Linked DNA regions of Arabidopsis thaliana. The protein of the gene in region 1 interacts with the protein of each later gene in a pairwise test. Each region holds a gene or a part of one and is shown in the gene's direction. Other genes may lie near its edges. The genes, in order: AT1G05410, RECA3, AT1G49850 and AT2G32650.

Evidence for each region.
Region 2: the proteins of AT1G05410 (region 1) and RECA3 interact in a two-hybrid assay, tested with the Arabidopsis thaliana proteins (one large-scale study listed by BioGRID).
Region 3: the proteins of AT1G05410 (region 1) and AT1G49850 interact in a two-hybrid assay, tested with the Arabidopsis thaliana proteins (one large-scale study listed by BioGRID).
Region 4: the proteins of AT1G05410 (region 1) and AT2G32650 interact in a two-hybrid assay, tested with the Arabidopsis thaliana proteins (one large-scale study listed by BioGRID).

The regions. Positions count from the first base shown.
Region 1 is NC_003070.9:1,584,841-1,589,547, reverse strand, and holds AT1G05410 (CDPK adapter, putative (DUF1423)), read left to right. Parts: upstream 1-1,753; 5' UTR 1,754-1,952; intron 1,953-2,269; 5' UTR 2,270-2,279; coding exon 2,280-2,640; intron 2,641-2,824; coding exon 2,825-3,390; intron 3,391-3,457; coding exon 3,458-3,518; intron 3,519-3,616; coding exon 3,617-4,044; 3' UTR 4,045-4,177; downstream 4,178-4,707. Other genes in the region: AT1G05400 (uncharacterized protein), read right to left, coding at 4,304-4,387, 4,488-4,707.
Region 2 is NC_003074.8:3,133,303-3,137,930, forward strand, and holds RECA3 (RECA homolog 3), read left to right. Parts: upstream 1-1,570; 5' UTR 1,571-1,681; coding exon 1,682-1,744; intron 1,745-1,939; coding exon 1,940-2,003; intron 2,004-2,079; coding exon 2,080-2,297; intron 2,298-2,406; coding exon 2,407-2,494; intron 2,495-2,720; coding exon 2,721-2,893; intron 2,894-2,970; coding exon 2,971-3,117; intron 3,118-3,218; coding exon 3,219-3,353; intron 3,354-3,485; coding exon 3,486-3,767; 3' UTR 3,768-4,115; downstream 4,116-4,628. Other genes in the region: PAP16 (purple acid phosphatase 16), read right to left, coding at 4,200-4,418, 4,503-4,628.
Region 3 is NC_003070.9:18,454,290-18,458,308, reverse strand, and holds AT1G49850 (RING/U-box superfamily protein), read left to right. Parts: upstream 1-1,689; 5' UTR 1,690-1,864; coding exon 1,865-2,077; intron 2,078-2,166; coding exon 2,167-2,360; intron 2,361-2,637; coding exon 2,638-2,983; 3' UTR 2,984-3,465; downstream 3,466-4,019. UniProt on the Arabidopsis thaliana protein: Probable E3 ubiquitin-protein ligase that may possess E3 ubiquitin ligase activity in vitro.
Region 4 is NC_003071.7:13,849,284-13,852,583, forward strand, and holds AT2G32650 (RmlC-like cupins superfamily protein), read left to right. Parts: upstream 1-1,705; 5' UTR 1,706-1,853; exon of another isoform or gene 1,854-2,088; intron 2,089-2,236; 5' UTR 2,237-2,263; coding exon 2,264-2,683; 3' UTR 2,684-2,705; downstream 2,706-3,300. Other genes in the region: AT2G32640 (Lycopene beta/epsilon cyclase protein), read right to left, coding at 1-73, 165-270, 386-450, 530-637, 719-906, 990-1,107, 1,397-1,528; AT2G32645 (B3 domain protein, putative (DUF313)), read right to left, coding at 2,706-2,802, 3,104-3,300.

The DNA.
Region 1 (4,707 bases):
TAGAAATTTCAATTAATTAAATACAATAAGAGGGTAATTTACGAGTTTTTGTCGTATATAGTATAAGGTAAAATGACTCAAAAAGCAAATCTTGATGGTAATCGAAACTTTAAACATGAAAAAGCGCCTACGCGTAAAGTATTTGTTTTTTTTCTTAGATTTGATAGAAGGGAAATAAGGTTATATACGGACATGCAAATATTTATATGTTTTCTCCATTATCAACATATACAAATTATATGAGTAAACTTCAACAATATAATCCAAAATTGTACTGTTTATCTTTATATTTTCACGCTTTTTTTTTCTTAATGTCATAGGCAAAAATTCTGCGGGGAGAGCAAAACCTTTATTGTTTAGTAAATAATTTTCTTCAATTCATTTACGAACTCTAGACATAATAAATAAATTAACGCCAAATAAGAGGAATTATTGTCCTTGCAAATATATACAGCAAGAACTCACGAGGAGGCAATGTTTGGACTAACCTAAACTGGCCATCTCATGACTCAAAGACGAAAGATCGATGTTTGTGCAAAGTACACTGACTCACTTCACTTCTCATTGATCAATCTTAACTAATATTTGTTCTCTTCCCTTTTTCAGTTTATCTTAGACCATTGTTTCTCCTAGCAACAAATTCACCGAATGATCATGTCGCGATTAGTTTTGGGATAAAATCATAAAATTGCTTCTCATCAAGAATTGCTCCGCAAAATCAATGTTCAAGCAGATTACTAGACCAAAATTTATGATCGAGTAGTCCGAATATAATCTTTTGCATTTAAAGCCTCTAAAATTTACAAATATCTAACCAATGTTACAACATGGCATGTACCTAGTACAAGCTACTAGGTTACAACTTCAGAGCGAAGAATTAAAAAATGAGAATCCTATATTAATGAATATTCTCGCTTGAGAAATCTATGCATGACAACTTTCTATCATCAACAATAATAATTAGATTTGATCAATCTCTGTCGACGAGAACCCGCCAAAAGTGGTGACTGAGAGACATGTCACACAACATCGCCCTATTTATACGTAGAAATATCGATCTATATATATATATATACTAGATCGACAATAATATGGTAAGTTTTTTTATTTTAAATATGGTAAGTAATAAATGCTTGTAATACGAAAGGCCTTTATGCTCTACTCATTGTTTGGTGTATAAAAAAAAAATGGAATCAAGGTGTCAGATATGATGGTACAGCAATTTTTAGCCCCACACGTTGTCATTTTTCTTTGGAAGGTACATTGAGATCAATTTCTATTTTTGTATTATTTTGAAATCATCATATAGTTTCATTGGATTTATCACAAGAGGAATCTTATAAAAATGCGAATGGGTATATCTATCTCTCTTTCAATATCTATGTCACACAAGTGTTGTTGCTATATTGTAGGGACATGTCAAAACTTGTCGACAAAAGCTCCATGAATGGGAAACATTGACATCAAGATACAAAATCACATGATTCTTCAACTTGTGAAAGTTTTCGAGTGTGAACATCAGACTCACATAAAACTCCATTGTAGATATCTCTTGTCATAAGACACTGTCACATTCAATATCGTTTTCAAACTCTCCAAAATACTGCCTGATTGCAATGTTACAATTTTGTCATGGACCCACCAATCCCTGTGAACCAAGCCGGTTACTGTTTATTACTCCGACCCGACCCGGGCTTTTTAAAGATAGGCCCAAGAAGGCCCAATGATTGAAATGTGAAATGTTTGATACATTGATGTTTTTGATCTTCGCTCAAACCCTACAATAAAACTTTGGTTCCTCCGAATTTCGAGTTCTTGTTCTTCCCAAGGCCCCTACTTCGGCCCTAGCATCAACCATTGTCGTTTTAAAGCTCCAGGTTTTCATGGCCAAGAAAGAAGTAACTATCGTTGAGATCTTCTGAAATTAATCAGTCTTGAAGTCTCTGGAGATTGTACGTTTCTCTTCTTCCTTTCCTCGTCGGTTTTAATGGATTCCGTTTGCCTGATTTGCAGTTTCTGCTTCACCGTGAAATCGAAACTCGTTTTGCTCTTAAACAAATATTATGCATGCGTTTCAATTTGGGTCTTTTTCTTGACAATATTGGTTCTGTTTGGATTAAGAAATTGAAAATTAGTTTTGTAGCTGAGCCTTTTCTCTTGTGTGTATAGGAACTGAGCTATATCAGTAGTGTATCTAGCATATTTGATTAATGTTCCTTCATGTTGTTCTTATTGAAGCTGCTTCCATTGGTTTTGTGATTGAGTGCAGGTCTTATAACATGGACTCCATGGATATTGATCAAAGTAACATAGGTGAATCGCCTCACCTTCTGCTGAGACCAGTAAGTCCATTGGAATCTGGTGAAGGTTTACCTTATGCTCCTGAGAATTGGCCTAATCCTGGAGATACTTGGCATTGGAAGGTTGGACCGAGAATTAGCGGTAAAGGCTACTTCGTGGATAGATACTTATATCCTCCTAAGTATCTTCCCGGTTTAGATACTGAAATATTGCGGAAAAATAAGGTGTTTAGGAGCAGGCTCTCGCTCCAACGATATATTCGTGTACACTTCCCTGAAGCGGATGTTCAAAAGTTCTTTGCTTCTTTCAGCTGGAGCATACCCTGCAGAGATGGTCAAGGTTCAATTTACTCTATATGATGCTTTACTCAAATATATACAATTCCAGTAGACTTACTATGTTTTTCCTTATGCTTCTCTCATCGCATGTTTCTGTTAGTTCTTCTTAACCATATGAATTACGTTTCAACATTCTGAACAAGTTACTGATTTCTTGGCATGGTGATTTGTTCTCTGTTTGACAGGTGTTTTGCCTCAGAAGCAGGTTCAGTTACCAGTGTATAGCTCAGATGAAGATCCAATGCGTGATGATGGATCTGATACTGCGGTCTGTAAGGCTGGTAATGAAAAATGCCGGAGCCTGATGCCACAGTGCGAAGCCGAGACTTTACCTGCTATGCCTTGTGACATTTGCTGCGGTGAACGTAAGTTCTGCGTTGATTGCTGTTGCATCCTTTGCTGCAAGTTAATAAGTTTGGAGCATGGAGGCTATAGCTATATCAAATGTGAAGCTGTGGTTTCCGAGGGTCACATATGTGGACATGTTGCTCATATGAACTGTGCTCTTCGAGCTTATCTGGCTGGAACCATTGGAGGCAGCATGGGATTGGATACTGAATACTACTGCAGGCGATGTGACGCCAAAAAGGACTTGTTTCCACATGTCAACAAGTTTCTAGAAATATGTCAGACTGTAGAATATCAAGGCGACGTGGAGAAGATCCTGAATCTCGGTATTTGTATCTTGCGGGGAGCACAAAGAGACAATGCTAAGGAGCTATTAAATTGTATCGAATCAACAGTCATCAAGGTATAATATACTTTGTAAAATGTAATGTTTACTGGACGTTCCTGAAACTAAAGCCAACTCTTTTCAGCTTAAATGTGGCACGAGCTTGGAAGATCTCTGGAATGATGATACACCAACTATATGGTCAGGTACATATCCCTTAATCACGATCCTTTGCTTTGACTTGAATATGTATTGAAGTTGATTTATTGTTCATTATAACAGATTATCTTCATTCTGGTTGTAGATTACTCCGACAGTGGAGAAGCTAGAGAAAATGATACATTGCAAAGTTTACAGGACGTGACTCCAATTGGGCCCATACCATTCAACCATGAGGCTGAGATGCACAAACTCGAAGAAGAAATCGGCGAGGTTCTAAGAGCGCTGAGAAAGGCTCAGGAATTTGAGTACCAAATTGCAGAAGGCAAACTTCATGCTCAGAAAGAATGTCTGAGTGATCTGTATAGGCAGCTCGAGAAGGAGAAGTCAGAGCTGTCGAGGCGAGTATCAGGTACAGATGCGAATAGCTTGATGACGAATGTGCTGAAGAGATTGGATCAGATTAGAAAAGAAGTCACAAAGCTTAAAGAAATGGAAGAAGTAGCCAAGGGATTTGGTAGGACACCTAGAGGGGTTCTTGAAGAGTACTTTCATCTAAACATCGAGGACTAAGATTTATATAAGCACATCCATAATTGTACATTCGTTATGACGTTTGTTTTGTAAGTTTTTGATTCTTCCTCGTAAATCTGAGTTTTGGATGGTCATTTGTTTATTCATTAATCAATTTACGAGTAACAAATGCACAAAAGGTACAATGAAAAGGTCTTCTCCTTCATAAATTGAGATTTAAAATGACAATTATGGAATTAAAAACTTGGAGCCATCAATTAGCTAAATGGCCTTAAAGAGATACAAAAACATAATATGATCAACTTTGGTTGCCACCCCTAGTAGCATTCTCCGGACAAGAATCAAGAGGAGGCTCACCTTTGGGGTTAGTAAAGCGTTGACGCTGCGAGGAAAAAGACAGACGGGGTCAAATTTAGGCAAAGAAAAGAACAACTGAGAAAGAGAGAATATAGTTAAACAAGTGGCAAGGATGCTTAAATTACCTTGAGTTCATGTTCTCGAGTAGAGAGATGCGTGATGAAATTATCAACGCCTTGGCCAGCAATACCTGGGCCACAAATACGACGGCACACAGAGCAAATCCAGGAGGCAGGTCCAGGCGTTTCACTGCAGCTATCCTCCTCCTCCTCAAGTGGCCCTGGATCAGCTAGAAGAAAGTTTTTCCAGAGGGTGGAGGAGGCTTCTCGAGGAGACTCAAGTGGA
Region 2 (4,628 bases), on another chromosome or scaffold:
GAATTTCACTTATTTATTTTTTTAAGTCCACAAAGGCCCCTGAGACTGTGGAGCGGGAAGATGACGAACATCCACTCACTCTTCTCTACAACACACCGGTGCAAAGTTCATATGTGATGTTTGTGAAGAAGATATGTCGGAAAAACTTTGGGTTTATTACTGCAAAGAGTGTGATTATGTAACTAGCTAGGCTTTCGATACATTTAAAACGTAATGTCGACCCAGTGAAGCATCCATCAAAAAAGCAAGGAGAAGTGCAATTTCGCCGTTGCATGCATATACACTCCACATTGTTAGAAACACCTACATTATGCTCGGAGACGCAGGAACAATCAATATTTAGGGATTTCTATATCTTTTCAGTCTTTATTTAGTACTTTTTATAAAGCGAAGAAGAAGCTCCCATTTATTTTTCGTAAACGCTTTGGACTAGGGTTAACGACGTTTTCCTCGTAAGATTGAACACAATATTCGGGATACGACTAAATAATGTAACAGTTTTTAATTAAAAAAATATTATTATCTCACATTAATGAAGTTGAATGGATCCTATTGGACATTACCGCTTAGCCTTGTTGTTTCCTCTTTTCGTTTTTATCTCCCAAATAGCAGTTTGTGTGTTAGTCTCTACGGCATTATGAAGGAGGAGCACAACTTTACAAGGGTCGAGAACTTGTCAATAGCACAAGACTCCACCTAGCTTTCATATCTTCTTACTCTTACGTACCAGACGTTTCGGGCCATCTAATTAATCATATGATATTCCGCAAATAAAAACAAACTAATACATTAAAATGATGATAATTAACACCAAAACCAATCGCCAAAAAATTTAAGAAAATAGCACCAACAACTTCATAATTCTTCTTCGTCATGAATCTCGTGGTCGAACTTTTTAGGTCTGTAAAGAGTACGCGGTCTCCTCCATATACCTACAAAATAAAGTAATTATAAAAAGCTTACAAGTTTAAAGATGTGCCAACAAATCAATGAACTTACTACTGTGATAATCTGGAGTATTACCTATTTCCATCACTCTATCATCACATTTTGATTTTGGTATGCAAGCAGGATCCACACCGCTTCGCTGGTTATCACCAGTTAGTGTACGTAAGTCAAACGTAATGAAGCGTCTGCTTTGGAAAACCTCGGAATTATGTGTTGGATATGTTTTCATGCTTAGGATACGATTCAATATTAATGAAGCGTCCACCAAAAGCAAGAGAACCAACAATTTCATTATTGAATTTGCACTCCACATTCTTAGACCTTTAGGTTATGCTCCACGCATGAACAATCTTAATTTAGGGATTTATCTTCTCAGATTTATTATTATATAGAAAAATAAAATCTTATTTGAGCAAAATGTTCGGGATAAGACTAAAGTTACACACAAAAAAAAAAAAAAAAAAAAAAAAAAAAAGACTAAAGTTACACCTCCCTTAAATTGTTACCTCTTTTCCGGTCCTCATATCAAACCGTTAAATTAGATTCCATTAGCCATGAACCGATCGGTTTAATACGGTTTTCGATTTTTATGTATCCACTTCTGGTTCAGGTCTTACCTCTTAAGGACAATGACCATGGCGGAAACTGGAGATCGTTAGTAGAAAAGGAGAAGACACAACTGTGGAATTGAAACTGAACAGCGAAGGAGGAGCCGCTTGAAGAAGAACGGGGCATGGGTCGACTCTCATGGGCCAGTCCGATTCAGAGATTCCGTTTCTTCTCTTACTTATCTCAGGTTCTCTTCGTCTCTAATGTTTCTCAACAATTCTTAGCTTGAGTATAAGAAAGAAAGATTTTATTTTTCAGATGAAGAAATTAGGACAACACTCCAACCAAAATAAAGTTATCTCCTTTAGAGTAGCATTGATGATTTGCCCAAGCTCCTGACTAAACAAATGTCTCTTGTGTTTACTCTTATCTTGCTTTGTAGCTGAATGGAAGAAGAAGCGTTTTGGCTTGCTCTGGCTATGAAAATCGTTATCTTTCGTCTTTAGGTAATCACTAATTTCCTTTGTCTTTTGATTTCCATACTCTGTATCCTGTCTTTATGAGTGTGTTTCGTTTGGTCAGTTGAAGCTTCAGATTGTGAACTTGATGAAGTTCCAGATGATAGAAAAGTAGCGGAGAAAGACACTGCTCTACATTTAGCATTGTCACAGCTTTCAGGTGATTTTGATAAAGACTCTAAGTTGTCATTGCAGCGGTTTTACAGAAAAAGGAGAGTTTCTGTGATATCCACGGGTTCCCTCAACCTTGATCTAGCTCTTGGAGTTGGAGGATTGCCAAAGGTTGTTGTTAATTTAGAGTCTCAGATAGGACTAGCCAAGCTAAAGGTATTGCAATTAATGAGGTCTCTAAATGTGTGTTTACAAGAGAACTTTGTTGGTTTTTGTGTAGGGAAGAATGGTTGAGGTTTACGGAAAAGAAGCATCTGGAAAGACAACTCTAGCTCTGCATATCATCAAGGAAGCTCAAAAGCTTGGAGGTACTGTTCTTGAATCCCATTCTCAATACATTTGTTTGAACAGAAACCTTGGGACTTGTTACTAGAATCCATCCTAAGTTGGGGACACATATCTTCTACTTTTTCCTTTCTTGTTTCTAGTGCGATAAGTAAGATTCGATTTTGTGAAGTTACAGTTTGATTCTGACTTGCTTTTGTTCTTCACTCCATTAGCTTTTTATTTATCTAAAAGACTTGTTTGTGCCAGGTTATTGCGCTTATCTTGATGCAGAGAATGCCATGGATCCTTCTCTAGCAGAATCAATAGGTGTGAACACAGAAGAGCTTCTGATATCACGACCTAGTTCTGCTGAAAAGATGCTAAATATTGTTGATGTGCTGACCAAGAGTGGGTCAGTAGACGTAATTGTGGTAGACAGTGTGAGTTCTCATTCTTTCATCTCAATATGTTCATATATTCTTTCTGCATCTGTTAATATTAAAAGTGGAATCTACAGGTTGCTGCTCTTGCCCCTCAATGTGAACTTGATGCTCCTGTAGGAGAAAGATACAGAGACACACAATCAAGAATAATGACACAGGCGCTCAGAAAAATCCATTACTCAGTTGGCTATTCTCAGACACTGATCGTTTTTCTTAATCAGGTAAAGGAAATATCACGGTTTACTTTCTTTTGCTCACTTAGTTGGATCGTATTGACCCACCTACCAAAGATAATATCTCTCTGCTTATTTACCTGATCCAGGTCAGATCACATGTGAAATCTAACATGCATTTCCCGCACGCCGAAGAAGTGACTTGTGGAGGAAACGCATTACCGTTTCATGCAGCTATACGTCTCAAAATGATAAGAACCGGGCTAATAAAGACTGCCAATAAGGTATAGTTAGGCACATTGTTACCATTGTACGTGTTACTGTAAGCTTGATTTGCCTTAATCTCTAAAATAATGCATAATTTCTGCGAAGGGCAGTAACATCTTTATTATCATTTGATTGCTTTGTTTCCTCAGATAAGTGGTCTCAATGTCTGCGTCCAAGTGGTGAAGAATAAACTGGCGCCCGGAAAGAAGAAATCTGAATTGGGGATTCACTTTGGTCATGGTTTCTACGTGGAGCGAGAGGTATTAGAATTGGCTTGTGAGCATGGAGTTATCTTAAGAGAAGGAACTAGCTATTTCATTGAAGGCGAGGTCATTGAAGGGAAAGACGCAGCTGAGAAGTATCTGGTGGAAAATAAAGAGGCTCTCGATACTGTCGTTGCAATCCTGAGGAACCAGCTCTTCAAGATGTGACAGAGGGAATGTATTTCGAGTTCTCCAAACAAATGTGTATGTTTCGATAAAGCCAAAAACCAATTGAGCTTTTCATCAACCCTGACGTCCCTATTAAACAACGTGGAAGGGACAGAAGCAGTTAGGGAATGCTAACTAAAAGGAGGATCAGAGAAGATGTGCAAAAGCTGGTTGTCATTAGATGATATCATCATAGTCATTGTTCTTGTTAGAGATTCTCCATCATGTATACTGCAGAGATTCCGGTTTCCTTAATGGGTTTGAACCGTTTTATCAAGCATTCTTTCCTTTTGTCTTGAACCAATCATCAGTTCATTTATTGGCTTATGGAAAGCAGTTTTTCTTGTCACTTAACAAGTTTACAGTGACCAAACCTACCAACAACTATAGGCACTATTACTTCTACAAAGTTTGACATATGTGATAAATAGACTAATCATATGTTAGGTTAACTTCACTGTGGACAGATCCATCTTCCATCCTAATCCAGGTCTTAATACGAAAGGGCATTTCAGAAATCTCCAAAATCCTTGATCCCCTTGGCCAATTTCCATATCCACCATAACCTGTGTGTCTCGCAAAGCAAAGCCAGAGTTTATCTTTGTACGGACAGCACCAGTCTAGTCCATGGTTGTGTCCTACAAACACTGCCTACTTACACAAAAATATAGTTCATTAAAGTTATATCAAACCAGTATCTAAGTGTTAAGCAATTTCGTGTTTAATAATTAGTACCTTAACGGAGGATCTGTTCTCAAGAACTCTCATCATCCCATTTTCAGCTTCTTGAGCAACAACTTTCTCTTTGTTGATTGATCCAACGCAAGGTTTTGTTATCCATAACCTTGGAGCTACTTTCTT
Region 3 (4,019 bases), about 17 Mb from region 1:
ACTAATCAATAATTGCTCCATTTATAAAATTTTAGTGTTTCATAATTATAATGATCTCCCGCTTTCTTAGGAAACTCAGACAACCTCCAACGGTGATTCTAGATGAGCTCTAGAGAGGTGAGACCATCCTCAACGCCAGTATGCTATGAAAATTTATAAAAGGATAAAAATAATAATATTTTAATTTTACAGTTATATTTTAAATATTTTATATAGATAGACCAATAATAAAGATGAACGTGTCTTTGGGTTTGTGATATCGTCTCTTAGCTAAGAGTTTTTGGAATTTCTCATTCTCTCTCTTTTTTTAACTTTTAATTATTTTTATTTTTTTAATTGTTAAGAATTCTATTAAACAACTATCGTTAACGGTGGTCTGAAGCCCTTAGAAAAAAGCCAACATTTAAAGAAAAAATGTGATGAAGTGGATGGAACTCACTTTAGCTAAGAACATTTTTTGTTTGGAAAGAGGCCCATACCTATCATGTTTCATAGGTTCGGTAATGTGAGGAAAGAACATTAATTTTTTTTCCCGTGTATTTTTTTTCTCTTTTCTCTCGTAAAATCCGATGATGATTACGAATCGATCATCATCAACCGTCATCTAGATCATTAAGTAGAAGAAAACCAAAGAAGCTCGTCTCTTATCCGCCGTGATCATCATCATCTACACCGACGGTGCTCACATCTGCGAATTCGATGAACTAAATCGGAGAGTTTGTTTAACCAAATCGGAAATTTATGTGAAACTATGCTCCAATCGTTTGATAAAGGGTGAAAGCAACTAAATAACAACTAATAAATGAGTTAATTAACAAAGTGGCAATAAAAAAACAAAATTAAAAGAGGAAAATTTTATCTAGAACCAACTTGTATACTGCAACTAGTACATTAACAATTAGATTTGAGTTAAGCAACTAACTAATCAATAGTTTCTCCATTTATTCATTTTTTTTCGGGAAAAATGTTGTTTAATACACCAACTTTCAAAAAGTGGCCATTTAAACCATGAACTCCATATATGGCCAAATAAAACTTAGTAAAAGCGTTGACCGACCATTTTATACATCTCAAAACGTTGACCAGGCCAAAAATCCTGCGACGTTAGCAGTCGTTAACAGAGTCGATAACAGGCGTTAGCAGGCGTTAATTAATCCGTTTAAACACAAAAATCTTCAAACGAACAAAAATGGAGAGGCTTTTGAAGATTTTTGAATTTGGGAATTTTAGGGCATGAGAATTGGAATTGGGGATTTTAGGGATTGAGAATCGAATTGGGAATTTTGTTGGTTTCGATTAAACACAAAACGACGTCGTTTGTGTTTAAACGGATTAATTAACGTCTGCTAACGCCTATTATCGACTCTATTAACGACTGCTAACGTCGCAGGGTTTTTGGCCGGATCAATGTTTTGGAATATATAAAATGGCCGATCAACGCTTTTACTAAGTTTTATTTGGCCATATATGGAGTTCATAGTTTAAATGGCCACTTTTTGAAAGTTGGTATATTAAACAACATTTTTTCCCTTTTTTTCCGTCAATTTCTCCATTTATTCAGTTTAGTGTTTCATAATGCTCTCCCCGTTTTCTTGGGACCTATGTATTAGTGGACTTTACTTGGATAGGCCCAATAATTGGGCTTTTCCCCTTAGTTTTTTATTACAGCGACACCGTTTTTAAAGATGTTTTGTCTTAGCTCCGACAGCAAGTGGGAGATGACGTCACCTTTTCACTGCAGTTTCCCTTTACTTTTTCCTCGCAATTTTCTCTCTTCTCTCTCTCTGTCCTCCTTATCTCATCGTCTCTGACTCGCTGCACTTAGTTTCAGATCATATAAACGAATTTGGTGATTGATCGGTGCATGACGAGCGCATCGGAACTCTTCTCTACACGAAGATCACGTCCGGGTCGATCCGACCCGGCTTTAGAATCCGACACTTCTTCCTATCGACACCACTCACACCATCATCATCGCCGTCACGGCGTCCATCATCATAATCAGCGTCATGATTCCGACGGCTGTGATCCTCTCCGGCGACCCACTCCCCGTCTCCGACGCTTCTTTCACCATCCGGTTAGTTACTTTCCACCAAATTAGTAATTACTAATTTCAGTAGTTGTCTGAATTTGGTCCTTTTTACTAAAATCTCCCCTAATTTACAGATTCAGGAACGTAGTAGACCTATTCGTGATGTTCAAGGCACTAGTCAGTATTTAAATACGGATAGTACTGATACTGAAACTCAGAGTAGCAGCTTTGTTAACCTAAATGGATCCGAGAGGCTTCCTGGAGCTGTTCTGCTTGCAAGGGATAGACTTTTCGAAAGATTGAGAGGTGTTTCTTTGTCTAGTAACAGGTCTGTGCTTAACCCACTGATAAATTTTACAGCTTTACTTGATCTGCACTCTAGTCTGATTTTAGATTTCTTTAAAAATAATTGCTTTTGTCTGATCAAGATTCTTTGAAGCATGTTTTGATTTTGCTCTTGTTTCTTGTGAGGATTGGTCAAGACTTAGTGTAAAAATCAGTTTTTGTGGATTATTGTTGCTTTGTGTATTCTTTAATATCTTCTTTGAAGCCTCTTTTTCAAAATTTGGTTACGGATTTGTTTCAACTTTGTTTTTCTGATTCAGTCGAAGCAACAGAGTTTCATTGGATGATCAAAGGGAGTCTTCATTTCATTCTATAGATGGAGATCCAATTTTTCAACTAGCAGGGCTTCAAGTGACCTATGAATGCAACAAGAAACCACAAGGTCTTACTCAAGATGCTATTAACTGTTTACACCGGCAAACTTTTAGCTCAGCCGAGGTTAAATCCGAGATGAGAGATTGTAGCATATGTTTAGAGAGTTTCACTAAAGGTGACATGCTAATATCCTTACCCTGTACCCATAGTTTCCATTCTTCTTGCTTAAACCCTTGGCTTAGAGCTTGTGGAGATTGTCCTTGTTGCCGTAGAGCCATAGCAAAGGAATAGAAACTTGTAAATAGAATCTTTGCCTAACCATTAGGCCATAGCCATACACATCTTCTCTTCTTCTTGCTATAGACATCCTTAAAACGATCTTCTGAGTTTTGTCGCCCATGAGTGTTTTTTTTACTGTCACATGTTTGTAATGGTTTTTGTTGTGCCATTAGGCAGTTCAAGCGTTGATATCGTATGGTGTGAATCTTTTTAGTTTTATTCACTGTGATCTCTCTTTTAATGTCTTGTTGGTTATATGAAAGAGACTTTTTCCAAATCCAAATCTTGATCCGACAATTTGGTTATGCTTTGAGGTTATAGCTCAACAACTTAACGTTTTCATTTTCAGAAATTTTGATTGTCTCAATCTGGTGATACTACTTTAAAGCTTTGCTTCCTCTTCCAAAACGTTGTCATTATCATACATCCATGTACGTTACATATATTGAAGTCTAATATCAAAAGATTCAATCAATTTATAACAACTTTAAAAGAAAGTTATGCCAAAAAAAAGAGAACTTTAAAACAAAGTTAAGGCTAAAAGGAGAAGACAGTTGTGCACAAAAAGCTATTTTTTGCTACAAAAGCATATCAAAATGGACCCCTTTCTTCATAAATTCATGATCATCATCTTCAATTCCTTTCATAAAATCCCATTTATTTGCTCCTAACCATCACTTTCTCTATTGGGTACCTAACACACCTCACTCTCTAACCACTAAAATTAACAATACATACATTAAGAATGTCCTGCCTTTCTTTTTCTATCACATCAATTTCATGTCTTCGACAACATTAAAACCTATATGATTCAAATTCAACCAACTTAAAACGGTTTAGTTCAGTTTAAAATCAACGAAAGCTGAAGAAGATAAGAGAGCTTCACTTGCTAACAATTAACTTTCCATAGATTGAAATTTTGACTTGCTAGAAAAATATGAGACAAATTCAACATTTAAGCAGCAATTCTCCTTCTCTTGCTGCAAATAAATCCCATCACCTTACTCAATAATATTGAAGGCGACAAAGAAAATAAGAGAAATGAAAC
Region 4 (3,300 bases), on another chromosome or scaffold:
TAGGAGAAAAGTTTCCCATGGCATCAATAACGAGACGGGAAGATAATGTGTCACCTTTAGAAAGTTGCATAACCTGTCAATCAAAATGTTCAAACAATTCATATCAATAAGCTGAATACTCTTCTTAGGTACAATGTTTTTGGAGAAAACGCCAGATAACTCACAGCTAAATCATTGTAGATGACGATGCTCGAGAGGCTGGAGTCTTCTAAAATGACTCCACCAAGAGAAATGAAACGTTGTTTTACAGTTTCCACAAGTTTGGCTGGGCTGTTTTAACATACAAAACGAAAAAACAAACAAATCATCACTTTCAGAAAGTAGCAGAACACAAGGGGATTATTCTTTTCCTATGTATTAGAGAATAAGAGAAGACAGGACTCACGAAACGCCGAGGTTAAGAATATCTTCAACCCATATATCACCAAGATTCTCAAATCCACATCTGTTCTGCATTTGTTCAAGATAACCTTAAGCTACATGACTTTTATAAAGCATCAAGATATTGCTTACTGAAGAGAAGCTTTACCGGATTGAACTTTGCAGCAATTACTTCTTCGATCTCATCTTCGGTTAAAACTCTGACTTCAGTCAGTTCTTTCATCTCTTTTCTTGAGATATTCCATTCTTGATCTCTCTAAATCACCACAAAACCAAAAAGCTTTAACAATAGCTTCTCCAACCAGACCTCAACCACAGCATTAACTAGAAGCTTTACCCCTTTGATTGCATTTCTCTCCACCACAGCGACTCTTAAACCCTTGGCACATAGAGCCGTGGCTAGAAAAATCCCCAAAGTACCCCCACAAACCACTATGTCAAAGGTTCCAACGAGATTATTCCCCATACTATAATCTTGAGAAAAACCAGATACCCTAGAAACAATTTGCTGAGTTTCTTGTGGTCCTGCAAAGACTAACATTCATCACCAAGAGAAGCATATTTCTTAATTATCTGAATGGTTACCAAAAGACTATTGTTCTTATTACCTGTTGGTTGAGTACATATGTTGGACCAAATATTGTCAAGTCTCTTCAAGGCATTATAAGAGTAAGCACCACCAGCACCTCCAGCTTCTCCACCAACTGAAATACTCTCCATTATCTTCTGCATATCGAAATGATTGAACTCATACTCAGCTAAAAACAACTCATCGTGAAGTTAAACATGCTTATGCAATCTCGCTTAAAGGCTCTCAAGATTCAAATACTAAAACAACTAAGAAAGAACAAAAGCGATGAAAATTTCTTTTCCTGTGCAATGAAAATCAATTATCAGTTATCAAGAGCAAACTTTCATCACAATGCAGACCACAAAATCATCTCTAATCCTGATAAAGTTCACAACTTTTTCTCATTTCCCCCCAGAGGATGCGTAATTGAGCAGAAAGCTTGACCTGTGTAAGAGAGGGAGCCAATTGTGTTTGAACGCACACTGTCGTCGAAGCTCTCCTTCTTCCTTGGTTTGTCTGAGCCCTTGATACGGAACTAACGAACCCATTGAACTGATGAATTTGCAGAACCACCATGACAATGAGTTCCAAAACAAATGCTATAAAACCAAGAGCGAACTTTTGATAAACAGAGATAAAACTTGTGAAGAGAAAACTGGAAAGATTGTGCAATGTGTCAGAGAATGTGACACGTTTACAGTCTTACAAAACAAAAACATTTTGGGTTACATTAACTCAAAACAAACTTCTGTTCTAAAATTAAAACAAATCTAAATGTTAGTATCGTTTCTGTAATATTTATTATATCCTCTTCTTCTTTTTTACTGATTCATCAAATCGGGGATCGGATAAGCCTGACTGCTTCAGGGTTTAAGGGTTACTCTCACTCACACTTCCGCTGGTAAGAAATTCGATTTCGATGCGTATAATCTGTCTTCCGCTTTTTTTTTTGGTTTTGAAATCGACAACCTTTTTTTGCGGACTTGTTGGGTTAAATTCGTATATCTTCAATTTTGCGATGAGTTTTCACTTTTCCAATCGAAATAGCAAATGGGCATTAGCTAATTTCCTGAATTGTGAGTTTTTGTGTTACGCTGTGTCATTGATTCATATAAGCTATTGCAAAGAGAGTAAATGATAAAGCCTTCAGCTTTACAATATAATTCACTTTTACACACTAGAGTTTAGAAATTCACCTTCTTTCTCTGTTTCAGGAGTTACAAGACTTTAACACATCACAAAGAATTTCGATATGTGTTATTTAAAGTTCATTGTGGATCTCAGGTTTCACAAGATTGGATAGAAGCAGCCATGGCAAGTCTGATAATGACTACACCATTCCCAGGTTCTGTCACTGCATGTAAGAAGACAAATAACCTGTCTGTTCAGAGAGCCTTTAAGGTGACTTGTATGCAGACAGAGAAACCATTAGAGGAGCTATACAATGTTAAAGTGGAACGGAAAGTTTCACAGAAACGGTTGGAGGAACTCGGGGTTTCGAGATGGTCAGTTTGGAAGACAGGGAAATGCAAATTGCCATGGGATTGGCAGGTGGATCAGTTGGTTTACATTGAACAAGGAGAGGTTCGAGTAGTTCCCGAAGGAAGCAAGAGGTATATGCAGTTTTTAGCTGGAGATCTTGTTCGGTATCCGAAATGGTTGGAAGCTGATCTTTTCTTTAACGCTCCTTATATTGAGCGGTATTGTTTCAAGGCCTATGGTGATGATTGATCCAACTTAGACTTTTGAGTTTTTAGTAGAGCCAAGAAACTTTACACTTGTTGTGTGTTGTTGTAGCCTGATGGATCTTTTTGTGATAATATAAGAAAACAAGTTCTCTCTCCTTTGTTCTGCATTTTCAATGCTAATCATAAGTAAACATAGGCAGCATCAGAGAGAGATAAAAAAAAATCAAACATAAAGAAAGAAACTCAAATCAAAACATCATATTTGGACAAAACCCCACTATTTCATCAACTGAACAAAAAAAAGAAAGAAAACCAAGCCAGATTTGCCTGAAAACTAAATCCGTTTTACTTGTGGCTTAAGCAATAAGCAGAGTTATGATTAGGAAGAACTAGAGCTGCTCTCTCCTGAACAGCCTTGGCCAGAGTGGCTAGAATCTACTGCCGAAGGAATGGGTAACGGTACCTGACCAGATTCACCTCAAGTAGAAGCACCATCGCCGCCACTGCCAGATTCTCCTGAAGTAGAGCCGTTGCTGGAATTTTTGGGGTGAGAGCAAAACAGAGTTTGCCTGTTCCAGATCGGAAAGACCAGAGAGGAAAGACGTCTTTTTCCTTAAACGAATTCGACTTGTTAGCATCAAGCACATCGTTCCAACCTTT